2 linked regions of the Coturnix japonica genome follow. The protein of the gene in region 1 binds, or shares a complex with, the protein of each later gene. Links are inferred from orthologs where the notes say so. Each region holds a gene or a part of one and is shown on either strand. Other genes may lie near its edges. The genes, in order: PLEKHM2 and ARL8B.

The links.
Region 2: the proteins of PLEKHM2 (region 1) and ARL8B are in contact, whole or in part, in a crystal structure (PDB 8JCA), measured with the Homo sapiens proteins. The link is inferred for Coturnix japonica from reciprocal best matches to the Homo sapiens genes PLEKHM2 and ARL8B. Residues at the interface, in NP_055979.2 of Homo sapiens: His70, Phe71, Thr72, Arg73, Arg74, Glu75, Glu103, Ser105, Glu107, Ser108, Tyr109, Arg111, Leu112, Glu115, Glu147, Phe148; in NP_060654.1 of Homo sapiens: Glu22, Thr52, Val53, Gly54, Phe55, Asn56, Met57, Lys68, Trp70, Arg77, Phe78, Arg84, Tyr85, Arg87, Gly88, Val89.

The regions. Positions count from the first base shown.
Region 1 is NC_029536.1:3,639,134-3,642,946, forward strand, and holds part of PLEKHM2 (pleckstrin homology domain-containing family M member 2), read left to right. Parts: intron 1-492; coding exon 493-1,281; intron 1,282-1,564; coding exon 1,565-1,634; intron 1,635-1,731; coding exon 1,732-1,822; intron 1,823-2,155; coding exon 2,156-2,220; intron 2,221-2,544; coding exon 2,545-2,633; intron 2,634-2,755; coding exon 2,756-2,888; intron 2,889-2,974; coding exon 2,975-3,165; intron 3,166-3,402; coding exon 3,403-3,468; intron 3,469-3,597; coding exon 3,598-3,757; intron 3,758-3,813. UniProt on the Homo sapiens protein: Plays a role in lysosomes movement and localization at the cell periphery acting as an effector of ARL8B.
Region 2 is NC_029527.1:15,966,313-15,969,996, forward strand, and holds the end of ARL8B (ADP-ribosylation factor-like protein 8B), read left to right. Parts: intron 1-392; coding exon 393-460; intron 461-674; coding exon 675-745; intron 746-1,166; coding exon 1,167-1,216; 3' UTR 1,217-3,107; downstream 3,108-3,684. UniProt on the Homo sapiens protein: Small GTPase which cycles between active GTP-bound and inactive GDP-bound states.

The sequences.
Region 1 (3,813 bases):
TTAAGCTTTCTCCAGCTGGTGGCAGGTTTGCAGCAGCTCTGGGTCTCAGATCTTCCTTCCTTCCTCTCGTCTGTCTGTGAGCTGTGGCTAAACCTGCTGAGGGAGATGTGTCTGCAGACCTGCTGGCCTGTGTTTGACTTCTTGCAGAGGAGAGCCTTGGGGTTCCCTCGGAGGCCTTAAACCCAGACAGAGAGCACAAGGCTGACTGCTCACACCTGGGGACAGGGGCACCCCAGAACCAGACCAGCAGGCCTGGGCTTTGTTCTCACACCTGTTTTTCCTGGGAGATGCAGAGGAGACGACTCTGAGATGGGTCACGTTGCACTCTGCTCTCCAGCAGTGTGGGAAGAGAAGCACCGTGCTTCCTCTTATAGGGAAAATTACAGGGGAAAGTTGTTAGGAAAGGGTGGGACCCCAACCCCCTCCCTTTGCATTGCAGAAGTCTGGGCAGGCAAAGATAAGTGATGTTCATAACGGCCTCTCACCATGCAGGTTAGCCAAGAAGAAGAAAACAGGCAAGAAGAAGAAAGCAAAGCCAGAGGAGCCAGTGAACACAGCTGTGCCCGCGGCGCCTGAGACCAGCACACATCAGAGCAGTGGAGACAGCGATGTGAACGGGCTGAGTGACAGAGGAGACATACAGAGGGACGATGATCCCACTGCCCCAGCTGGGGAGCCGAGCCCGGGCGGGCAGGAGGAGGGACACGAGCGCTCTGCCCTCAGCCAGCTGGCTTTGCACATCCCCGAAATGAAGGACACGTCCATGGAGAGCGTGGGGCAGCCGCTGAGCAAGGTGATGGACAGGCTGAATGGGCAGCTGGACCCTGGTGGTTGGAGCGCACCCCTCGAGCCGCCCAGGCAGTCCTTTCGGACCGGCACGCCAGGGGAGAGCCCAGATGGATCGTCCTCTGGCGACTTTAGCGACGGGATTTCAGCCCCCATGGACTTCTACCGCTTTACCGTCGAGAGTCCAAATGCTGCTGCACCAGGTGGTGGCCACCATGACGCTCCAGGGCCTGGCCAACAGACACATGTTTCTGGTAGCCCTGAGGCTTCTAAAGAAGAAGAAGAAAGCAGAGAGGGAGAAGCAGTTGGGGCAGTAGAAGAGTCTGAAGGAGTGAGCAGTGAACCTCAGACTGCCCAGATGGAGAACATCAATCCTGAGGCTGTTGGTGAGACAAAGAAGGAGCAGCCCAGCCCTTCCTTGAGCAGCGCTGAGGATTCTGGTGTGGAGGAAGGTCAGGGCAGCCCTTCTGAGCTCACCCACCCCTCAGAGTTCAGGTGAGGCTGGGTCTGCTCAGCTCAGCATACAGAGTTTATGTGAGCACAGAGTGTGTCTTCCAAAAGTAAAGAGCTGCTGGTACTCAAGCTGATACTTTTCCATTTGTCCTCCATTTGTGGGGCAAAGCCCATCCTTCTCCAGGATGAAAGTGATGCTTAGGGATTCACAAGAAGGTCTTGTGGGCCAGCAGGTGCCCTAATCACACACAGACTCACTCAGGAAGGTGACTGGGCAGCCCCATGTCTTTGTCCATCCTTCAGCCTCTTCTGTCTGTCCTTGCAGGGTGGACAACAACCATCTGCTCCTGCTGATGATCCACGTATTTCGGGAGAACGAGGAACAGTTGTTCAGGGTAAGACAGTCATAGGCTGGGCACACAAATCAGTCTGCAAAGAGGCCACCTCTGTCTGCGTTGGCCATGGGCTGAGAGCTCTCCTCCTTCCACACAGATGATCCGGATGAGCACCGGGCACATGGAGGGGAACCTGCAGCTGGTCTATGTCCTGCTGACAGATTGCTACGTGTACCTGATCCGGAAAGGTACCCCAACAGCTCCTGCTACAACTCTCAGTTTAGTCAGGACAGCCTGTTGGAGGTCTGGGAGCTGGGGGAGGTGATGGCTTGATCCATGGCTTGCTCAGTGACTGGGGCATAGTGATTAGGGCATCGTAGCTCATCAGTGTTTGCCAGTTCCTTCATGCTTCCAAGAGCAGTGGCAACAGCAGCAGTGAGATCAGGTTGATATGCCCCTTTAGGAGCCTTAGGACCTGTGCCCTGTAGCTCTTTGCTCCTGGAACTTGGCTTCTCTTGCTGGTTCCGGGCAGTGACAGGTTCCTTTGCCCCCCTTCATGCAGCTCTTTGTCTCTGTGCCAGGGGCAGCAGAGAAGCCGTACATGGTGGAAGAGGCCGTTTCCTATAATGAGCTCGACTACATTTCGGTGAGTGCTGTCTCGGGAGGGGGCAGGAGGCAGCTTGGAGGTTATCTTCACCTCTTTGGCTGCAGGGATGGCAGCAGCAGCACAGTGGGATGTTTCTGTGGGGCTCTTTGTCCACGAGGGGCATTTTGGACTGTGAATCTTTGAGACAGAGAGAGTTAGAAGCATTGCTCTCCAGTGCCACCTCTAGTGGTGCTTGGCTTGCTGTCTCTGCATGGGCAGCAGAGCGTCTGCTGACCTCCCCGGGAGTCAGGATGCCAGGCTCAGCCCTGCTCCACCACCCTTTGTCCTCTGTCTTGCTTCCTTACCCAGTCATGTGTGACACAGGTTGGGCTGGATCAGCAGACGGTGACGCTGGTGTGCACCAATCGGAGGAAGCAGTTCCTGCTCGACACTGCAGACGTGGCTCTCACAGAGTAAGTGGGCACCGTCAGCACTCCGTGTTATCAAAAGTCCTTTGGTCAGTGGAGGGACCCTTGGATGTCAGGGCAGGTGAAGCTGACAAAGGGCTGCCACCGTAGCTGCGTCTCCCTCTCAGGTTCTTCTTGGTCTCCTTGAAGTCAGCCATGATTAAGGGGTGCCGGGAGCCCCCGTACCCCAGTGTCCTCACAGATGCCACCATGGAGAAACTGGCACTTGCAAAATTTGTGGCTCAGGAGTCCAAGTGTGAGGTGAGTTCTGACATGGCTGCCATGGCTGCGTGTGACGGAGCATCACACCGGACACCGTCCTGTTCACATCTCTGCCCATCCCACAGGCCTGTGATGTGGTGGTGCGTTTCTATGGCCTCGTACACTGGGAGGACCCCATGGATGAGGCGCTGGGACCTTCTCCCAGTAGCTACAGTTCTGCTGAGAACGCAGTCACCAAGGATGGCATTCTGCACTACAAGGCGGGCACCTCGTACCTGGGCAAGGAGCAGTGGAAGACCTGCTTCGTGGTGCTCAGGTGGGTCTGGGAGAAGATCTCTGATCGGTTTTATTGTGCTGCTGTCTGGGAGATGAGGGGGCCCATCACCACGTGGGAGGCTGAGATAAAGCCCCTGTTGTGGCTGCCAGCAGCAGCACAACCCCCCAGGGCTGCATGCACAGGGCTGGGCAGGAGTGTGAGCAAAGCCAGGGTGTGTTTGTGTGGCTGGCAGAGCTGAGCTGGCTCCACTGACCATCTCCTCTTTCCAAATGGCAGCAATGGGATCTTGTACCAGTACCCCGACCGCACGGATGTCACACCTCTGCTCTCCATCAACATGGGGTAAGGATGTCATCCCAGCTGGGAACACGGGGCAGAGTGATGAAGGCACAGTGAGGGCGGGTGGGGGCAGGGCTTGTTGTCGTCGGGGCGGTGCTGCCGGTCCATCCTGATCTCCCTCCTCTCTCCCAGCGGTGAGCAGTGCGGGGGATGCCGGCGCTCCAACACCACCGACCGGCCCCACTCCTTCCAGGTGATCCTGACAGACCGGCCCTCCCTGGAGCTGAGTGCTGACAACGAGGAGGACATGGCCGACTGGATGCAGTACTTCTGCCAGGCTGTCTCCAAAGGGGTGAGCTGCAAAGGGTGAACGGATCCCTCCTGAGCCCCTTTGGTTCCAACCTCCAC
Region 2 (3,684 bases), on another chromosome or scaffold:
TCCAGTTGTTGACCTCAGCAAGAACTTCAGTGATCATTCTTCACTTGGTGCCACCCAAAAAACGTGGAAGAATAATCTATTCTGCCATATGAATTTGTGCTCTTTTGAGGCGGGCTATGGTACATGTTAACCAGAGTAAGTTTGGGAGGTCACAGTTGAAAGTTCACTGGGTTTGTTCTCACTATTATCAGCTGATCTTGTACTTGCTTTTGTACAAAAGAGGTTTTGGGCTTTTTTCCCTGTAACTGGGTCAGTCTTTCTTCTCAGCTTGGCTTACTACTGCGTATCTTATTCCACTGGATTTAATAGTCTGGTGTAGACTGCTTGTTGCTTTCCTAAAATAAACAAAACAACAGAAACAAAGCTGAAATTGTTTCTGCTTTGAATTTCAGGTTCTAGTACTTGGAAACAAGAGAGACCTTCCTAATGCTTTGGATGAGAAACAGCTAATCGAGAAGATGTAAGTCTAACCCTTCTGAAGAGATTACTCATAAATGAATTCATGTAGGTAAGGGTGTTAGTTGAAGAAGCTTTCTGTTTATAAGTGGAAAGCACAGTAACAAGTAGCTGAAACGTTGTACAGAAACAAGTTCCATGATGGAGTGGAAAGAGATTTTCAATGTAGAATGCTTGATAAAACGGAAGTGTGTGTTTTAACTTTATCTCTTTTGTAGGAACCTTGCTGCTATTCAGGACAGAGAAATCTGCTGCTACTCAATTTCTTGCAAAGAAAAAGATAATATAGGTAACTATTAACCTAAAACTGCATGCATAAGAAGAGCTTTATGCTTTGGACTGTAGGGCTAAATTAACTTTGTTACCATCAGGTTAGAAGAGGCAGCAAGGGCTGTCAGACTGGCTTGAATAATGGCGATGTTTATCTGAATGTAATTATGTCAGCAAGACAAAGATATCACTTGAAGTCTTTCTTAGGGTTGTGGTTGACTGAGGAACCCAAATCTCTGCAGCGCCTCCAAATGTTGCTTGCAAGGCTCTGGGCTTTTACTGGACTAGAACATAAACAGCAGACTTTCAGTTTTGTTAATCTGCCTTGGACCATCTCTAGAGAAGGGCTGCCTCTGTATTAGGGGCTCTGGGCATACCAAGGTGATGCTGGTTATGCAAATACAAATCACTTGAATATGGAACACTTTTTCTCTCTTCAGATATCACGCTTCAGTGGCTTATTCAGCATTCAAAGTCTAGAAGAAGCTGAAGTCTTCCTGGAATCTCCAGTACCAGTTGGCCATAATCTCAATTGTCCACTTCCCTCCATAATGAGATATAACCCAAAAATCCTGTATCAAGAATCTGCCTTTTCACAGTTCATTTCTCATGTGCACTGCTGAAGACTTGTATTCCTATTATGTCACAAAACAACTAGAGTTGTCATAAAGTCAGCACAAATATTTATTTTACAACCATCTATGGTGGGAGGGTTGTGGGGGGGCTTTTTAAGAAAAAAAAATCTACCATGTTAACTATGATGGTACACTCTGTTCTGGTTTTTCAGGGCCAGGTTTTTATATGATTTTCAGCAAGTGTTTTATTTCTAGTGTTTAGTGGCTTGAAGATGCTGATGCTTGACAGCATTAAGATTCTGTAAGATGCCACATACAGTAGTTAGAAAACATTTAAACGTGAGTTGTGGGATAGTTTATCTCACAAATGCATGTGATGTGTGTATGTTAGCAGAGAAATGGATCCTGTTTGCAGAGGGGAGCAAAAGACATAGCTCAGCATCACTAATCTACAGCTGGGATCTTATCCTATCACTTAAAAGGAAAAAGAAAAACTTATGATGAATTAGGAGAGTCAACTGCTTAAATTCATTTTGTTGCTTATGTTTAACATTTGTCTGGGGAATGGGAATGGACTGTTCTGTCAAGCTTTCAAAAACCGGAGTATTCCAGCATGACAACAAATTGCTTGGTTCAAACACACTTTTCTGTCTTCTGATTCTAGTGATCTCTATCCGAAAGCAGAACACACGTTCTGAGCGGCTGCATGACACTTAAATTACTGATGTTTTTGTATAGAGTCAGTTGTTGACCTTTAGCACAATATCTATGTAATTGTCCGGTGTCTCCTGCTCATGAAATAGCTGGGCACAGTTTCACCTGGTGCTATGAAACATCTCAGCTATTGTGACAACTCTAGAGCTGCCTGCTTTCTTGATGTAACCATGTGCAAAGTCTGTAAGTGGCAAGGTGAAATGTTCAACTGTGTCAAAGCACAAGAGAGCCAACGAATCGATCCTATTTCTTGACTAGCTTCTACAGTGTAGGGAAGTATATACAAACTGAAGATTGTAATGTTTTTGTAGCTTTACTTTCTCAATGACTTCAATATATTTAAAGGGACAGACTCGTTAAGACTGGTTTGTTCATACAGTAATGTCAGTGTAGCTTGCTAGTGTATACAAATACATGGTACACCTGCTTGCATTGCCTCACACTGTGTGTGATTCTTCCTTACCTGAATGTGGAGTTTGCGTTACTTTAGAGTCTTTGGTTGAAGACGCTGTTTTGTCCGTATCAATAATGAAAAATCAGTTTTACTTTAGACTACCATGGCCTTACTGTTCCATACCAGCTGTTGCACAGACACTACGTGCTGCCTGCGTTTGGTCTGAACTTGCATTTAACTTCTTGTCCCCTTTCGGTTCTCTGAAGTGTGATTTCAGTTAATTCATCATCTGGTGCTGTAGAGGAGAGGGTATATTAACTTGCTACTGTAGTCCTTAGTTCACTGTGAACTGCTACAGTTACCTTTATCTATCAAACTTGCTTGTGCCTAAAATATGGAAACTAAACTAGAATGTGTGAATCTTTGTGGGGGACCAGGTCACTGTTTAGCTAACTGGCCTATAGGTAAACTTGATGTGTTTGGTGTTTATATACTTCACTGCTTTCAGTATTTATGGCATCCAAACACTACCAACTGTTAACCTGTGCATTACTCTCTGCATGTGAACAACTTATACAATTACTGAACTTTGTAAATACGTGGATTTTTTTATTTAGGTGGATGCATATGTTGGTTTACTGCTCTTCAGCTTAATTCAATAAACTTCTGTTTTGAGGGTTGTATTGACGCTTAACCGACTGACTGGAGTTGATGCGTTTAACTCATGGCACTGCGGGCTTGTTTGCTCTCTGATTAAAATTAAATGGGCAAAGAGGTGCAGTAGAAATACCTGAGCTTCCTCATCTTCTGTGGTTGCACTACTAAAGTGAAATGCTTACAGAACTATCTTTCAGGCCCGAGGCTTTCTCAGCTTACATAAACAGGCTTAACTAGAGTTGATCTCGGCCGTCCTCAGTGCTTTTTTGCCTTGTGAAAAGGACTTGCTGATCAGCTGAAGGGTCGTAAGCAGGTCAGCCTCCTGGAGTTGTGTTTTTAGAGATAAAAAATACTCATATCTAAAATCTTGTTTCTTGTTCTCTGAACTAGTTGTGGCTTTTCTAGCACAAGTATCAGATCTAGCAGTGTCTGATTGTTTATTACCAATTAAAGTGTCACGTTTTGTATCTCACTGGAAGGTGAGGCTTTCATTGACTGCGGTTTCCAACAAAATGCCTTTTTTTTTGTCCATATTTGAATCTGTGCTGACTCTTGATCTCCAGCACTGATCCATTAATTTCTCTTAGATGGCTGATGAACCTGGAGGATGGTGTGCCG